3 linked regions of the Caenorhabditis elegans genome follow. The protein of the gene in region 3 purifies or fractionates together with the protein of the main gene of each other region. This does not show direct contact. Each region holds a gene or a part of one and is shown on either strand. Other genes may lie near its edges.

Region 1 (5,251 bases), on a different chromosome or scaffold from region 3:
CTGCAGAGAGCACGGCAGGTGCCTCTTCCCAAAGCTGACCTGATCCACCTCAGAGGTCTTTTCTTCCCAGTAGACATGTGTAGATCAAAACAATACCTCAGAGGTCTTTTCTTCTAAGTAGACATGTGCATGAAGTCAGTGGTGCAGTGAGCCCGAAAGATCCTGATCGCCAATGTTATATATTCGAGGCCGAACAAGGAGGCGAAGACGAGTAGTTTATTATTACATAACTAAGGAATAAATAGAAAGTTAGTATACATAGATAATGAGTTCACGTTACACGATCTTCATATCCACGTTAAGGGTAAGGTACACGTAGATACCCAACATTTTTTATTAGCTTTGATGCTTTTGGAGATATTTAAGTTTTAAAATTGATAAAAATCAGGTAACCTGTCCCTACTTAGAGCTATCATAACTATGCTCAAAGTTGAGCTACAAAAAATTTGTAAATTAACAACTTATAGAACAATTTGCGTAGATTATTTTGTTAATTGACAATCTTTTGCTAACTTTTGTAGATTTACAGATATTCAGATTTTAAAATATACCACCTTCGTTGAGCCGGTAACTAGCAAAATATAGAAAAATTTAGGAACATTTTTAGTACCAAAAAAACATTTTATTAAAATCCACGCAACAAATTTCAGATTATCAAAAACACGACAACAAGACATAATTGAAAAAAAAAATTAGCAAATTGAAAAATCAGTCCTCCAATGGTAAAGCGCTTCCAATTGGCATCACTTCGAAGACCAGGCACCAACTGACATGTGGCATAAACTCCAAAGGGTCCAAGTTTTCAGTTCTCTTCTTACCGTAGACATTAAGCTCGGATTCATAGGTCAGCGGGATGTTGAAGCAGTGAGGGAATTCGGTGCAGCTGGAAAAAAAGGAAAATTTGGGAAGAGTCCAACTTTGGAAGTTTATAAACTAGTATGTACATTAGATAATTTTAGAATATTTAATAAAAAATTATAGTGAAAGTAATATTTATTATTTTGCCAGTAAACAATTTTCCATCAAGATATAAGCCTCCATAGTTGAGGTGTAATGCTAAACTTCAAAAAAAAATTTTTGCATAAAATCGAACCTGCGCGCCGCAGAACAGGTTCTGCCACAGAAAAATTTGAAATTGTAAGTCAGAATTTTTGCAACGCATTTGCAACACGAAAGTTTTTGTAAAAGTTGTTAGAAATTTGAGTTTTAGTTTTTGGATAATTTTGCAAAAAAAAAACAACTAATTTCGAAAGAGCATAACTCAAAAACCCAACTACTTTCATAAAATTGCTCAACTGCAAAACCGTTGCAAATAATAGCATCTACAATCTTGTAGTTGACAACTTTCCACTAGCTCTACCAGGAGAAAAGTTACAGCGGCCGACACTTCACGGGCTTTTGAAAAGTTCGAAAAAGCACAAGTGAGGTAGTTTGTATCTATTTAAAGAGCCTCAAACTCAAATTTCGATGTATTACATATCAGTGCAATGTTCAAATAAAAACTAAATGAAGATTTTTTGTCGACTTTTCCCTAAAAACATGGTGCATCGGAGCTCCAAATTTCCAGCTGGTGCATCGATGCATCCTGAATTTTGCGAACTTACTCTACTCCCTCCATCCTCTTGCTCACAACCATCGGATGATCCCCGAGCAAGTTCAATGTGGATTGGGTGGCGTGATACTGCTTAACACCAAACGTAAAGCAGGTCCCAATACTCTTCGGTGTCTCGATCCAATTATCAATCAGCTGCACATAGTCATGATGGAACAGTGGACTATGAAGCATGTAGACATTCTTCTGTGGAAGCTTCAGTAGGAAAGGGATCCAGGCAAAGTTCTCCCCAAACATTTTCTCAGTTCCGATAACCAGACGCTGGGTGGCATGGATAACTGGGTGGTCGTGCTCTAGAGGCATATGCAAGCTCTTGAAAGGCAGAGTGCTCTCGTGGAAAATACTGTTCAGACCATCCCAAAGCAGTCCGAACTCCGTACCAAATCTCATATTGGAAACTTTCACTTTAAAATTCTCGGGGAGTCGGTAGACCCCACCTGCATCACCAAGCTCCAGGGTCTTTATCACAATTGGGTGAGCTCTTTTTCCGAACAACTTCTCTGTGATATACTTCATCGCATCATACATTTTCTTGTTATAATCCAGATACTCAATGATCCCATGGAAAGTCTCCCTGTCCCGCCTGAAGTCTAAGTTCATCCTTTGGAATCTGATGCCAAATCTGTATGGAGCTGGTTCATTTTCCTCTCGCCAGCTGTATGGATTCGTGTATGCTTCGAGTTGGTCGGTGACTGCTGGATCTATGTCTGGCTCGTCTTCGGATTCAGATGCTTCGGATTCTGAAGATGAATAGCGTGCTCTTGGGAGGTAAGCGTCGCCGAGGATACGCCGGATCTGAGCTTCCTGGGGGTCATCGTCTTCATCATCTGATCCTTCTGCTGGAAGATCTTCTGCTTCATCCTCATCATCTTCGGAAGAGCTTTCAGGGTCTGAAAAATATATTTTTGAGATTTTCCGAAACAAAAATTGGCCGCCGAAACACTTTAAGCTATCATATTTCAGCTAGAAATCAAGCTATCACAAATTTGTCAACTGAGATAGTGCTCTAAATTTTCTTAAACAGCAGCCGACATATCACTGGACTCCTTATCACCTACCTTCCCTCTGCTGCACCTGCATCCGCCCCTGTGGTCTTATAAAATCCCGCATTGCAAATTGCAACATCTCCATTGTCATATCCTCCATATTATTAATTTTTTCCTTGCTTTCAACTTTCAAATCTCCAGGGCTCAAAACCTCATTGCAGCGGGGATCCTTAAGCCCATACTGATCCATATCATAGGCAGCACCTCCATCTAAGTTCACATTGTTGATATATGGACTATAGTAGACATGGTCTTTCGGTAGGTGGCGGAGCAGTCCTAACGTGTACCTATGTCGGTTGATTCGGATGACACGGGGATTCATGTAGAGCTTGTAGATGTGGAGGGGAGCAGCTTTGTCGGCTGCTTTTAGGGAGTCACATCGTTCCACTAATTTAAATCTGGAATATTTTAAGTAGGTTGATAGGTGTTTAAAAGTAAAAATAATATTGGTAGCTGCCCCACTTCTAGGAACGGCTCAAAATTTGAGCAAAACATGGTTCATCGACAGAAAATTGCTTAAGTTATTATACTTCTACCGAAGCCCGTTTTAATAAATTTTTACACAAAGAAAATTGAATTTTGAGCTGTTAAAGTTGAGGAAAACATGATGCATCGACTGTAAATTTATCAACTTTTGCTCTGAAAAAGTAACCTACTAAAATATATTCCAAACTCTTTTTAAACTTTAATAGCTTTTCAAAAACTTTTTTCAGCTCTACAATCAGAATTCCAAAAAAAAATAAAAGCATACCTCCTATTAGCTTCAAAGAACTGTAGTACACATTTCTGGCACTCATATGGGAGTGGTGTTAAGCTCATATGTAGGTATTTATTACCTGTAAAAAAGTGGGAAATTGGTGCGAAAAGTGAGAAAAACGTTGAAAGAAACGAGAAAATTGTGAAAAACTGACAAAAAATGACTATGATCTAGTAAACAAATTTCCAAAAAGTAGTAAAGCTGCATTCGAAAGTAGTAAAATATTGCCAGAGTGTAGCCAAAAATAGCAAAATTTCAACGAAAATATAAAAAAATAGTCGAAAAATAGCTAGAAATAGTCCAAAAATTGTCAGAAATCGGACAAAACAGCCAAAAAATAGTTCAAAACTTGTGGAAAATACCCAATAATTGTCCGTCTTCCCCCTATTACATACCCCCGTTGGAGAGGCAATAGGGACCATTAGACTACCCTAAATAACTAGGTGACCTCTGTCCATCTGTCGCAGACGGGGCGGGAATGTTTATCTCTGTTGACCTTGAGCATCGGTCCTCTATAGAGAGCCTACACGTACCCGGACTACTTGATGTGAATGGAGAATTAGAATAAAAGAGATTCTATAGATTTTTTTTGTGAAAAATTAGTTCAAAAGCTCATAACTCCGCTGAAAATTGAGCTATTGAAAAGTTGTCAACTACAAAAATATTTCAAATTAATTTTCAAACATTTTGTTGGTGGAAAACTTTTTGCTAGCTCAACTTTCAGCTGAGTTATGATATTTTTAAGTTGGTATTTGAAAAATTTTCATGTGAAAAATCAATTGAGGCTTCTATTTGACAAACTATTTTAGGGTAGAGGGGGGCAAGAATCATGCTGGTTTGGACCAAATCTGACCTTGATACTAATATGTTGTTTACAACATTTGCCGTGTTTGCAAAAAAAAAACAGGCAGAAAATTAACTTTACGCTGGAAAATTGGTAGATATTGGGTCGCCAAAAATGCGAAAAAAAGAATGAAAATTGATCTTCAGTGCCCTTTTATTCGGGTTTATCATGGTGCATTAGCACAGGCTTCCATTTCAAAATTGGCCACATCCATTGAGATGTCGGATGCTGACTTTAATATCAACTTTGTTTGCAGCCGACACTTTCCCGGTTCCTTTCAAAATGTCGAAACAGTAGAAGACATCTCACAAGATTTTTCAAGCTTGTATTAACAAAAAATCAACCAAGAACCGCAGCCGACATTTCCGGGCTTTCAAGTGTTCCTATATTAAATCCGTAAATTGCACACTTGACAGAAATAAAAAATAAGGGCACGTTTTCGACATGAGGTGTCCCGAGAAATGTGACTGCACTTTGAGAACTTATATCTTAGCTTAGGATTGGCGTTTTTTTTTGAGCAATTTGTTTCAATAGCTCCAATCATATTGAGGACCGCACTTTTTGAACATTATGGCCACTTTTAACCTCAGCAGGACAGGCCAAATGCTATTTCATTTCACTCAAATCCAAAAATCAGGGATAAGGGCTGCCTGCTTACTCTTAGAAACTTTAGGCTTTTTCTATCCCTACTTCCAGCAGAGCAGGCTGGAGGACTTTTATGAGACTACGTCTGTATTTGAAAAGATCAGTTAATTCGGATTGAGGGCTGCAGGCCCAAATACACATAGAAGTATTGGACAATCTTTAAGCCTACTCTGAGCCCAATAATCCAGGTTGAGGGCCGCAGGCCCGAATACACGGATAGAAAAGACCCAGAAATAATATTATCTCAAATGACCATGGCTCAATCAGTTTTCATTCAAAATGATCAAAATTTTCCCGAGTTTTCCAACTTAAACTACTGCGAAGCCTAGCGCGCTTGACGCGCTAGT
Region 2 (6,870 bases), on a different chromosome or scaffold from region 3:
GAGGAGGCAGCAGTAGTAGTAGAAGATTACAGAATGGTATAGTGGTAGACCACAGTGATTTGTGAAATCAGTATGCTGTATAGTTAAGATACAGTCACTTTATATCTGATAGTTGGTAGCAGACATACAGACTCTTATGACGCATGAAATAATGGGTGGGCCCCTAGAAGGACATTGTACTTTGAAAATTTAATTTCAATTTTATTCGACAATGCAAAGTATCAGGTTTTTGGTTTTTGGAATACCACTTTGCTGACCCTAACAAAAATGAGTGTAGGTGGACACATTATTCAAATCATGAGATCACCGGAAAACATCTTGAAAGTGCAGACACGTGTAAAATGAACAATAGTTTTGAAACTTTTTCTTAGTAATTTGGAATTGAAATTTTCTGAAAAAAAAATTTCGCAAATAATCTAAAAGTGTTGTCAAGCAGATAAATTGTTACGTGAACATTCTTAGTCATGATGATTTGAAACATTAATAGCATAATGCTTTAGTTCTCTCTATGTTTCTCTATCCTTCCCACACATACACAGCTTTTGAACTTTCATTCAATTATCCCATTGTAATAATTTATTAAAATCCCTTTGCACAAACAAAAATGATTATCATTCTGTGAAAAATGTGAAAATATGAATAGCAGGAAAATGACAGAAAAGAAGTAAAAAGAACCACTCAGGAAACATCAGACGGGAAGAAAAGTTAAAAATGAACAAGAAAAAATGTACTCGGACCTCTATTTGTAGGAAGAAAACTGTGATGGAAAATGAAACACCGGAAACTCGAAAAAAGAAAAAAAAACATTGAATCACTCACAAAAAAGCGGAAATTTAAATATTTTGAAATTTGAAAAAGTAACCGTGTTCTGACTCATTATTCCTTTTGCGTTTCATTTTCTTCCTAAAGAGTCTTAATAAATTAATCACCATTGTGGGAAGGAACTGTACAAAAGAGTGGCTGGCTCGTAGTTCAAGAAGGGATTTTGAATTAGTGGGATTGTAGTTGGAAGCATTGTAGGCATCATCAAGGATGACAAATCAATTGGGAGAGGATTTAATGCTTGATTAGGCTGCAAATTAAATACTGTGATTTTCAAAGCATTTGATAACTGATTATTTATTACCACTGCCTGAGTTCTTCCCCAGGAACATCTGACTTGATTTCCAGCCATCTCCTTTCCATTCATCTCCATTATTGCTTTTGTGGCACACTCTTTTTTCTCATATCTGACGAACGCGTACCTTTGGGTTTTGAAAATACGCACTTCCGCTATATCACCATATGTTGAGAATAAATCGCGGAGATCAGCGTCTATAAAAATATGTACATAGATATAACATATGGCAGTGATAGGATAAAAGGCAGAAAGTCATTTATCAAATTTCATGGGACGTTCTCACTGTCTACCAGGCGGAAGTGTCAAGCAGTAGGATGTGATGAGGAAAAATGATGATAGCCTCATATCCGTTAGAAAGTTTGTTAATGAGATAAAGACATGGAACTGGTTTACTCTGTTAATAAACTATGGGAAAGTTACCGAATAAGGCCATTCGAGAAATTGAAATGATCTTTTAATGGTTTTATGTTTTGTCAACAACTACAGTGTCTTAATTTGATTGTAAACATTAAAAAATGCCTGCAAAAATACCATTTTAACCAGTACAAGTAAAATGTATCAGATAGAGCATTAACTTTTTAAAACTATTGCTATTAATTTGTTCAAAGATGTATCATAGATGTGCATTGCGAAATTAGCAAAATTAAAATTACAACGCCTGTCAACTTACTTCTTAAAAATCAGTTTGTATTATCCAAATGCTCAATAACACTAGTTTACTTTAAAAAATTAAATTTCACGGAAAACCTATATCAAAAATATTAGTATGATTTGGAAAAATTCTAAAAAAAATAAACGTTTCAATTAAGTTTCCAATATTATTTGTCAAATAAAATTTATAACAATTATAAACTTCGATGTTTCACTGCGGAGTAGAGCCAATGGGGAAATTGCTTTGAAACATGCATATGGAACCACAATGACGAAATATTTCAGTAAAAGTATTTTTTTTAATTTGTAAAATTACTTTTTTCGTTTGATTGCGTAGTTTTCTATAAAAGTGCGTAGTTTTCTATAAAAGTGACTTAAAGCGATCGCGAACTGCCAATAAAAAATTTTCAAAACAATTTTTGGAAAGTTTTACTATTTTTTTGGCCATAATATTTGGCCATTTAGTCCCCATGGAACTGGTTTTTAGCAATTTACCCACTAGCGCTACTACAACTTTCACCATTGGTTACCGGAGCAGTATACGGTCTCTCTATTAATGCAAATTTCCCAATTCTTTAAATTTCAGAAGAAACTATAGATGTAATTCTAAAGATTGTTTTCTTTATTTCAAAAACTTAAACTCTATTTATTTCCTTTTTAATGACTGATATGAAGTACACTGTCTACCTATAACTAACCTGTAGTCTGTTGACTTATGTTCCCAACATAAACTGACGTGTTATCGGCTTTCGTTGAGTTGAACACCTGGAGCTGTCATGTTTTATTGAGATTTAACGTTACAACATCTCACCTGTTCAAAAGTCAGCTTGTCGCGATTCTCCTCGCTGTTTTTTCGTGCCGCCCAGTTGGTCCGCACAGCTCGTTTCCCAATCCATTTTCCGTTCATTCCGGCTATCGCGTTCTCTGCATTCTAAAAACAAGGCTCAGTTTTCTCGACGAAAATAAATAGGACCAATGGGCTTCGTAAAAAAAACAGAGAGAAACTAACTTGTTTGTTGGGAAATGACACAAATCCGTATCCTTTTGATTTCTGAGTCTGAACATCTCGAATCACTTTAGCTTCACTGAAAAAAATACTTCCGCGGTATAAATGTCAAGATTGGGTAAAAAATCTAACAATGGTTGGAGAATATTGCTTTCAGTTTTGCTCAATATTTTGTCATAAAATTTATTAAATTTCGGTTTGGGAATGATGATATTTTTTTGCCAAGTACGGTTTCGATATACTCTTTTAAAAATTTTTATGGAAAATTGCTAGTTACTCAAAAAAATAAGTTATGTAAGTTTTTTTAAATCCAAATGACGAGGGTGTTGTTTGTTTTTTGATTCGAACTCTTTTGTATAGTGTTAACGTGTTCAAGCAAAATTAAGTATTTTATCCTCAAATTTACCTGACTTCTCCGAATTTTGTAAACGTTGATTTTAAAAGCTCATTGCTCACGTCCTTGCTCAAATCCCCGACAAAAACATGAAAATGCTCTGAAAAGAAGCAAAGAAATGATATTGCATTGCTAATCTTCTTCTTTTTTAGTGCTGGCACGCATGGTTTCATTTCATCTCATCTTGGTCGTCAGTTTCATATTTTCCAATTCTTGACCACGGAACATAAAAAACGATAAAAAACGTGTGACTTTCAAGAAAAACGGTTAGCAGCTATGAGGCTAAACAACCTCGAATTGTCTGATAAGGGTGATAAGAACAACCAAAGAATACAATAACACCCAGAACGGTTTTGAAAAAAAAAAGTGAATCCGTCTGTGTGATTGATAAGGTCAATCAAATGACTTATCTTTATCTTCTTTTTTTGGTCTCATATTTTTTCACAGCTATTTTGACTTATGACCTGACACCAATACGGCGCCAGAAAAGTAATTGAAAAATAAAGATTGATAGGATCTTTGATTCAAACAAATTCATTTTTCACACTTTTCATCCAAATCTGCAAATCTACACTCACTGCTTGTATCAATTCGCATCTCCATCGGCGGCTCCGAGGCTGAGTGCAACACGGCTGATTCCTGCAACACAATTGCATTTGCCAAATGAGAATCCGTACTAGTTGAATGTATTTCGATCGGACAAAAAGATTGGCGCGAGAGGAAAGGGTAACTAAAGGGGGAAAGAAGGGTGCGAAATAAGCGGAAATGGGCAAATGAACAAACCAAAGAGTGTGGAAGACCGATGTGTGACAAAGAAGGAAGGCTGGCGGTCTGGAGAAGCAGAGGACATGTGTCCAAGGATTGAATCGACTGTGTCTGAACACAGGTATATGAATTATTGAGTTGCACAATATCCGATCAACCTACGTCTAATAAACCTGCCGGGAACTGCGAGTATAGGTTTTTCATAGGCATTTGTTGAGAGTAAAGCAAGGATGTCTGAGGAGTCGCAGTTGGTAAGCACATGAGTGCTTTCTGCAAGGACTGTTTTAAACATTTCTGTGTTTTGACAAAGTTCAATTTTTCAGAAAGAATCAATATGAAAGACTAATCTAGAAAGAATAATCTCAAAATTGCACGTGATTGCTTCTAAAAAATCGTTCGAAACATATCAGTTAACCTGTGAATTCAGACAATATGTAATAAAACTTAGTTTTGGGAAGCTTGTTTTAACTAAAAGTGTTGTTTTTTCTCTGCTTAACATTTGGAAAAGCAACAACTTAAATATTTCTGACAACTTGAGAAAATCAATTGTTGAACATACTTAACAACGTTCACGTCACTATTTCTACAGAAACCAGATGCATTATCCATTTGTATTTATTTAGAATTGTAAACCACCTTTCTTTTTTATGATTGATCAGATTGTGTTCCTTTTCTTTGCCAGGAAAATTACTGACGGGAATGTGGCAATTAAAAAATCTATTGCAAATTTGCATTACCTATTATGAGCAAAAAAAGGGAATAACAATTACATGGCTTATTACAAGCACATGCTAATGTTCTTGTACTGCCCTCGGTTTTAGTACCAACGAATTGCTTTCAATTTCTAAAAAGTCACCTACCTTCGCCTGCTGAGCCGAACCATATTCGGCTTCGTGTACGGAGATGAGGTCCTGTGATCGTTTCAGCTTGAATTGTGTACTAACACCACTGTGGTGTTCCAGGACTTGTTTAAATGTGAGAAGAATGCAAATGTTCCTGGAAAAACGCTGTGAATCGGATTAGCATTCCCATTGAAAAATAAGAGCAAAAACAGAGCCAAGAGATTTGTTTTCAAATCCCTCGCGAAACTAACAAGGTAACTAAACTGTGATAATGGATTATCGATAAATGGAAAAATGTGGCAAGGAATATAACCGGAAAATGAGTCAAAAAATAAAAAAGTAGAAGGAGGAAGAAGGTGCAATATTCATTTTTCATGGCCGAGCATCTTCTTGTAGCAGAGTGATGTGCTCCGCCTTGTCCCAAGGGGAATTGGGTGGAGAACTAATTAAGAAAGTCGAAAACAATAGAATATATTGAGGTGTAGACTATGTCGGAAACAAGAAAAATGCGAATAAGAGGATGGAAAGGAAGGGAAGGAAAAAATGTGCAACAAACTTGGGAGCTAAGACCGGACTCCACATTTAACCCATCCAGTGTTGTTTCTCACGATGGGCTCAAGAGCGGAACGTCGTTTCATTCTTGTGATTTTACCATCCATTCCCACCAGATTTGAGATTTACCGAGTGCCCACCCCTTGTGACCTCCTTTTATTCTTCTCATCTAGCTTGAGCACCTTTCCTTTCCTTTGACTTTTTTATACGTTGTCATTCTTCATGTAAGAGAGCTCAGGATTCTTCCATTTTCATTTTCCTATTCATCTAGTAGTAGTCCATTAGTCTCACTCGAAAAATGAGCAACGAATGCACTAGAGGGTTCGTGTGGCTGAATAGCGGTAATACGCAAAATGGAATAAACAAATGATATTTGAGAGAGGCATGGGCCCCATAAAAAAAGGCGGAAAATGTCTTCAACTGTGAGAATAGGGTCTCGCACCAAATCGAGACACCTAAATTCATAGATTCATGCATCTGAAAGAGCTTTTAGCAGAAGGCAAAAAAAATAGACAACGGTGGACACGAACAAAGAATGTTTTAATGCTTGTGAATAGGGAGGAATAGACAGTGTGCACGGAGTCAGCCGAGAGGAAATAAAAATGTTCCTTTTTTGAACAATAACAATCAGATTCGTATTGGAAAGGAAGACGAACAACAAATCGATACAACCACCAGTTTATTAGGTGAAGAACATTACAAATAGGAGAAAAAGAGTTTCACAGTGACAGACGTGAAGACCGTAATTTTTCGAATCGCTTAAGCTTAATAGTAGTTAAAAGCAGGTAGCTAAAAATGTTAGTCCATTGACTTTTTCAAAGATAAAAACTTTAGCGCAAATGAAGCACGTTTCTTGTTAATGTGTTTTCAGGATTAAAATGTTAAACAAGAATATCAACTTCAAAATCGATTTGTAATCAATAAAGTTTACAATTATAATATTTTATTCTTATATCAAAACTTCAGGAAATGATACTTCAAGATTGAAAATCCGCCTTGATGGCGTATTCCAAAAAGGGAATAGATTTTTGGGAAACGAGCGGCATTTTTGTCACGAAGATCAATGATTAAAAACAATAAGATGACTCAATCTGTAAACGACCAACATTTTCTGATTTGTATAAATTACATACAAACAAAAAAATTAATTATTAAAATTACTTGAATCAAATGTATCCTTAAATGGTTGAACATTCTGAAGCAGTATGTATTTGTGTACTATATCCTTAAATTTTGAAAAAAAAGTATGTTTCCATTTATACGTTAATTAAGCATTATTTGGAAACAAATCTTTTCAAAAAATTAAACTTCTAATTTAAAGAAGTCTTATCAATTTGAAAAAAAGGGTAAAACCAAATAGCAGAATGAGCAAGAGCAAACTGACCAGTTTACACCTTCAAATGTTTATTTTATTCAATCGCAAATATCAATCTGTATACCATGCAATGTGTTGATATAAACTATGGAAAAGTGTAAAAAAGGGAGAAGGCATGGCTCTTGATTAGTCAGTTTTCATAAATTGTTTTCTAAATTTATTGAA
Region 3 (3,897 bases):
CAAACCCAGATAAAGGATTTTTATCTCAAATATAAAAATTTTTTGTCAATTTCACATAATTCATATAAATCTGACCGTTGTGAAGAAAAGTCATTGATGTTGTTGTGTTGTTCTTAACACTGGAATAGAATTGAAAACTAGTTTTTGAGAACAATTTCGTCAAATTATAGTATCAGTGATGTCACGGTTGTTTTGGTGTTGGAAAGTTTGAAGTTTAAATTTTTATAAAACTTTTTTGTTGGGCGACAAAATATTTAAAGAATCAGGGACTCTTGCGAACAGTCCAAATGGGGAACAAAAAAATAATACGAATTAATTGAGTTAGCGAAAATGTATGAGTAAAAAATGTTTTCACAAAAATTTAATTCGACAAACTCCTATTTAGTATTTCCTGATTAATTTATGCACAAAAAACGTTTTTTTTTGTATTTTTCGATTGATGGTTCCTGGTTTGTCTGTTGACCCCGTTTTCCCAATAATATCCAGTTAGCTTTCGACGTCCCTAGCTTTTGATTCTGCGGTCATTAACTAAAAGAGCTAATCTATGCCTTCATTTTTTTGGCGCTGGTTTCTCAAGAAATTACAAACATTGACCTACGTTTATGATTCACAACTATTAATAAGTGACTGCAACAGAAATATTTATTTTTCAAAATATTAAAAAAAAAATCAAATTTCCCATTCAACTATGTTTCTCATCTTTTTTTTATAGTTTAAAACCAAATAAAAAAGTCAAAAAAAAATCAAAATTTAAATCCCCGGCGCCCCAAAAGTATCAATTCCAAGAACAGTTTCATTGTTCTTCTGCATATCCTCTTCACTGTCCATTGTCTTGTTGAGATGAGCCATTACATCCATTTCATCGTCGGATAGCTGGAAAACAAAAAGCATCAAAACTGCTTAATAAGAATCGTGAAACAGTTATTTTATTGGAAACCTTCATTTTGCATTTTTTTTTTAATCAGAAATATATGTTACCAAACGGGATTATTTCGACAGTTTTAAATAAGTTATATGAAACAGTCGAAATATTTTATAGATAGTTTAAAGAGGTTTTGAACAATGAACAAATTTTTTGGTTAAATAAAGTGTGGTAATTATAGTTTTCGGCAATTGGAAATTAGTTTTTCGTTTTTTGTCTTTACTAGAATTTTTGATTTTTTTTTTCAAGGTGTTTATTTATTACTAGTCGATCAATCTAGTTTTTCAGCCACATAAATTTTTATAACATTTTATTTTTCAAATTTCAGAACAGTTTTTCATTAATAATTATACTTAAATATAACCACTTGAAAAAATTCTACTGGTTCAAGGTGTCTGTAAAGCACAACGTCTTTGGCATAAATATTGCCATGATTTTACTAAAAGCGCTCACTTAATTCCAACTTACATTTTCCGTAGAGTTAGTTGAAATCGAATCAACATGGGATCTTTTCTGAACGTACTCCTTCTTATCAGAATTCAATCCTTTATCAAATTTCTCCAGATCGTTCTCTGCAGCTGGCTTGTCAGCTTTTTTCACTTCAATTTCTCCAGATTTTTTGGAATTTTCAGAAGAATCTTTCACTTCTTCGATTGTTGAGTTCTGAAAATTAGAGTTTTGAATTTGAAAACACTTTAGCATTTGTACGGATTTGCTTTAAAATGTATTTACAGTACTTTGAAACATAATAATATTTTAATTATTTAAGAAAATTTACAGTTTCAAATAGTTGGTAAATTGTGAATATTGCAAACTTGTTAGTAGTTCTGAACAACGTTTTCTTTACTTTAAATTAACCACTCTTATTACACTTTAGCTTGAGAAAAAATCTACTGCTTATGTGTGTTTTTATAACTTTCAACTATTTTGAAATGTATTGAGCCCGCTTATTGAAAAGAATTATAAAATTTTCCGAACCTGCAATGTCATTTGCCATTTCTAGAAAATTGGAAATTTTCATTTTTGGAAGGTTTTTTGTTTTCGCGCGGAATCATTTGGACAGTTTCACGTTCCTCAGAAATTAGTTCAACTGTTATAAGATGAGTTAGTTTCCTCCAAACACGGCAATTAAAAACTGACTACTAAAATAGAGTGACTTTGGCAAGTTGGTATTTCCAGAAAATTTGAAAACTCACACCAGCATCCACTTTCACCAAATCTTCTAAATCCTCATTATATCTCATTTCCTCCGACGAAGAAGACCTCGAAGACTCCATAGTATCGGATTCCGAGGATTCAGTTGCACGAGCAATTACATGAAGAGCAATTGACAAAAAGAACACAAAATGTACGAGTTTCGACATCATTTTAGTTTCTGAACAAAACTTTTAGTAGATCTGACTAGTAACTGGATAAATGGTCGGATGAGTAAGAGTGAGGATAGTTATGATGACAGGACGGGATGACCGGTTTTTTAGTTTTTTGTCGAATTGGTTGTACTTTTGAATGAGAGGATCATAACGGAGGTATTGGATGTAATCCCCCCTGTATTTTAGTCACTATGGACTAAAATTCGTGATTTGAATAATTTTAGTGAATGAAAAATAAATACTCTTTCAACAGCTGGATATGAAAATATAAAAATTAAGAAATTAATGAGTACACTTGTCTTTCTGTATGTATTTCATGAAAAACCGCTTCAAATTGTTCAGCCATTTTCAAATCGTCTTCATTTTATTTGGAAAGTAGTTCAACAGTGGAGCAGATATATTTTCACATCCTCTAAAAATATTAGGAGCAAGAAACAGTCGGATTCTTAAACTAAAAATTGAAAGTTTCAATGTCTTTTTAGAAGGTATTGGAGTTTTACTCTACTGTTATATGAGAAGAGCGGTCTATATTTCTTGAACACATCTTTTTGAATACAAATCTTGTTAACTTAGTTTTAAAATACATAATCATCAAAAATATAAATTAAGCAACCATTCCGAGAACAACATAGCATCAGACAAAATTCTTCATTCGTTACATAAAAACCATGAAACGGGAACAAAATGTTCTTGTTTAAAAAAAAGCTAAAAACCAAATTGTAACCGAATGAAAAAAGACTACCTGTCCACAGTTGGTTTAATAGTTTCACAAAAATCTTCCAATAATCCGCTCGTAAATCCCTTATGGGGTCGCGGTCGTGTACATTATTTCTAACAATTTTTCAACAAATTTTAATGCGACACCTAAATATTATACTGTTATCGATTTTGGTGGGGTTGCTTCATGGATCACTGGAAGATGGTGAGTTGGACAAAATATTGTTTCAGTAAATTGTTAAGTTTGGCATCTATTAAAGTTTTGGTTCCACGCTTCCCACTCTTTCCTCTATTAAAATCTTGAATTTTGCTAAATTGTCTGTGTCACCGCTTTTGAAAAATAACTTTTAAGAAAACCTCTTTCCTCTATTAGTAAGGTAATTTAACGATTTTAAGAAAACGTTAAAACCAATTCTCTAAAAAAATTTCAAAAATTAATTTTTTTGTGATTAATTGACTACTGTTTCATGTACTTGATTAATTTTGTCATATTTGATAAATGATGTTTAGTCTGATAGTAACAAAACGGAGCTTTTTTGAAGATTTTGACTGAAAATAAGTATTTGTTTCTCTGCAAAACTTTCAATCGCCATAAAAACGTAGAATTTTTAAAGGTGTCTCATTATGAAATTATACTTTTTGAGACCGTTTTTAGTCTAATTAAGAGTCTAACTGAACAAAGTAAATTACAGAAAACTCCGGCACTGATGGATCAGCTTCAAAGAACGAATCGACTTTTCCGGAGAACTCGGGTGGTCCAATGATTCTACCGATGCCTGTTGATGAGCCCGGAAGTTCTGGATCCGGTCCAGAACTTCCAGTCATGGAAGGTATGGAGCCCGGCGTACCAGAACAATCAACAATGCCTCCAGTAGACCCTGCAGAATA

The links.
Region 1: the proteins of R05A10.2 (region 3) and fbxc-51 fractionate together in Caenorhabditis elegans (co-fractionation; one large-scale study listed by BioGRID). This does not show direct contact.
Region 2: the proteins of R05A10.2 (region 3) and rnp-9 fractionate together in Caenorhabditis elegans (co-fractionation; one large-scale study listed by BioGRID). This does not show direct contact.

The regions. Positions count from the first base shown.
Region 1 is NC_003280.10:867,057-872,307, reverse strand, and holds fbxc-51 (F-box C protein), read right to left. Parts: upstream 3,495-5,251; 5' UTR 3,478-3,494; coding exon 3,410-3,477; intron 3,057-3,409; coding exon 2,671-3,056; intron 2,503-2,670; coding exon 1,605-2,502; intron 884-1,604; coding exon 709-883; 3' UTR 609-708; downstream 1-608.
Region 2 is NC_003284.9:10,165,380-10,172,249, reverse strand, and holds rnp-9 (RRM domain-containing protein), read right to left. Parts: upstream 4,946-6,870; 5' UTR 4,797-4,945; intron 4,207-4,796; 5' UTR 4,198-4,206; coding exon 4,099-4,197; intron 4,048-4,098; coding exon 3,955-4,047; intron 3,811-3,954; coding exon 3,750-3,810; intron 3,272-3,749; coding exon 3,184-3,271; intron 2,857-3,183; coding exon 2,781-2,856; intron 2,703-2,780; coding exon 2,583-2,702; intron 2,537-2,582; coding exon 2,470-2,536; intron 1,315-2,469; coding exon 1,127-1,314; intron 1,073-1,126; coding exon 926-1,072; 3' UTR 557-925; downstream 1-556.
Region 3 is NC_003282.8:14,175,673-14,179,569, reverse strand, and holds R05A10.2 (Secreted phosphoprotein 1), read right to left. Parts: upstream 2,300-3,897; 5' UTR 2,287-2,299; coding exon 2,119-2,286; intron 2,053-2,118; exon of another isoform or gene 2,028-2,052; intron 1,983-2,027; exon of another isoform or gene 1,962-1,982; intron 1,882-1,961; exon of another isoform or gene 1,861-1,881; intron 1,769-1,860; exon of another isoform or gene 1,745-1,768; intron 1,586-1,744; coding exon 1,391-1,585; intron 1,370-1,390; exon of another isoform or gene 1,349-1,369; intron 1,066-1,348; exon of another isoform or gene 1,044-1,065; intron 978-1,043; exon of another isoform or gene 957-977; intron 874-956; coding exon 751-873; 3' UTR 630-750; downstream 1-629. Other genes in the region: R05A10.3 (DUF148 domain-containing protein), read left to right, coding at 3,097-3,214, 3,702-3,897.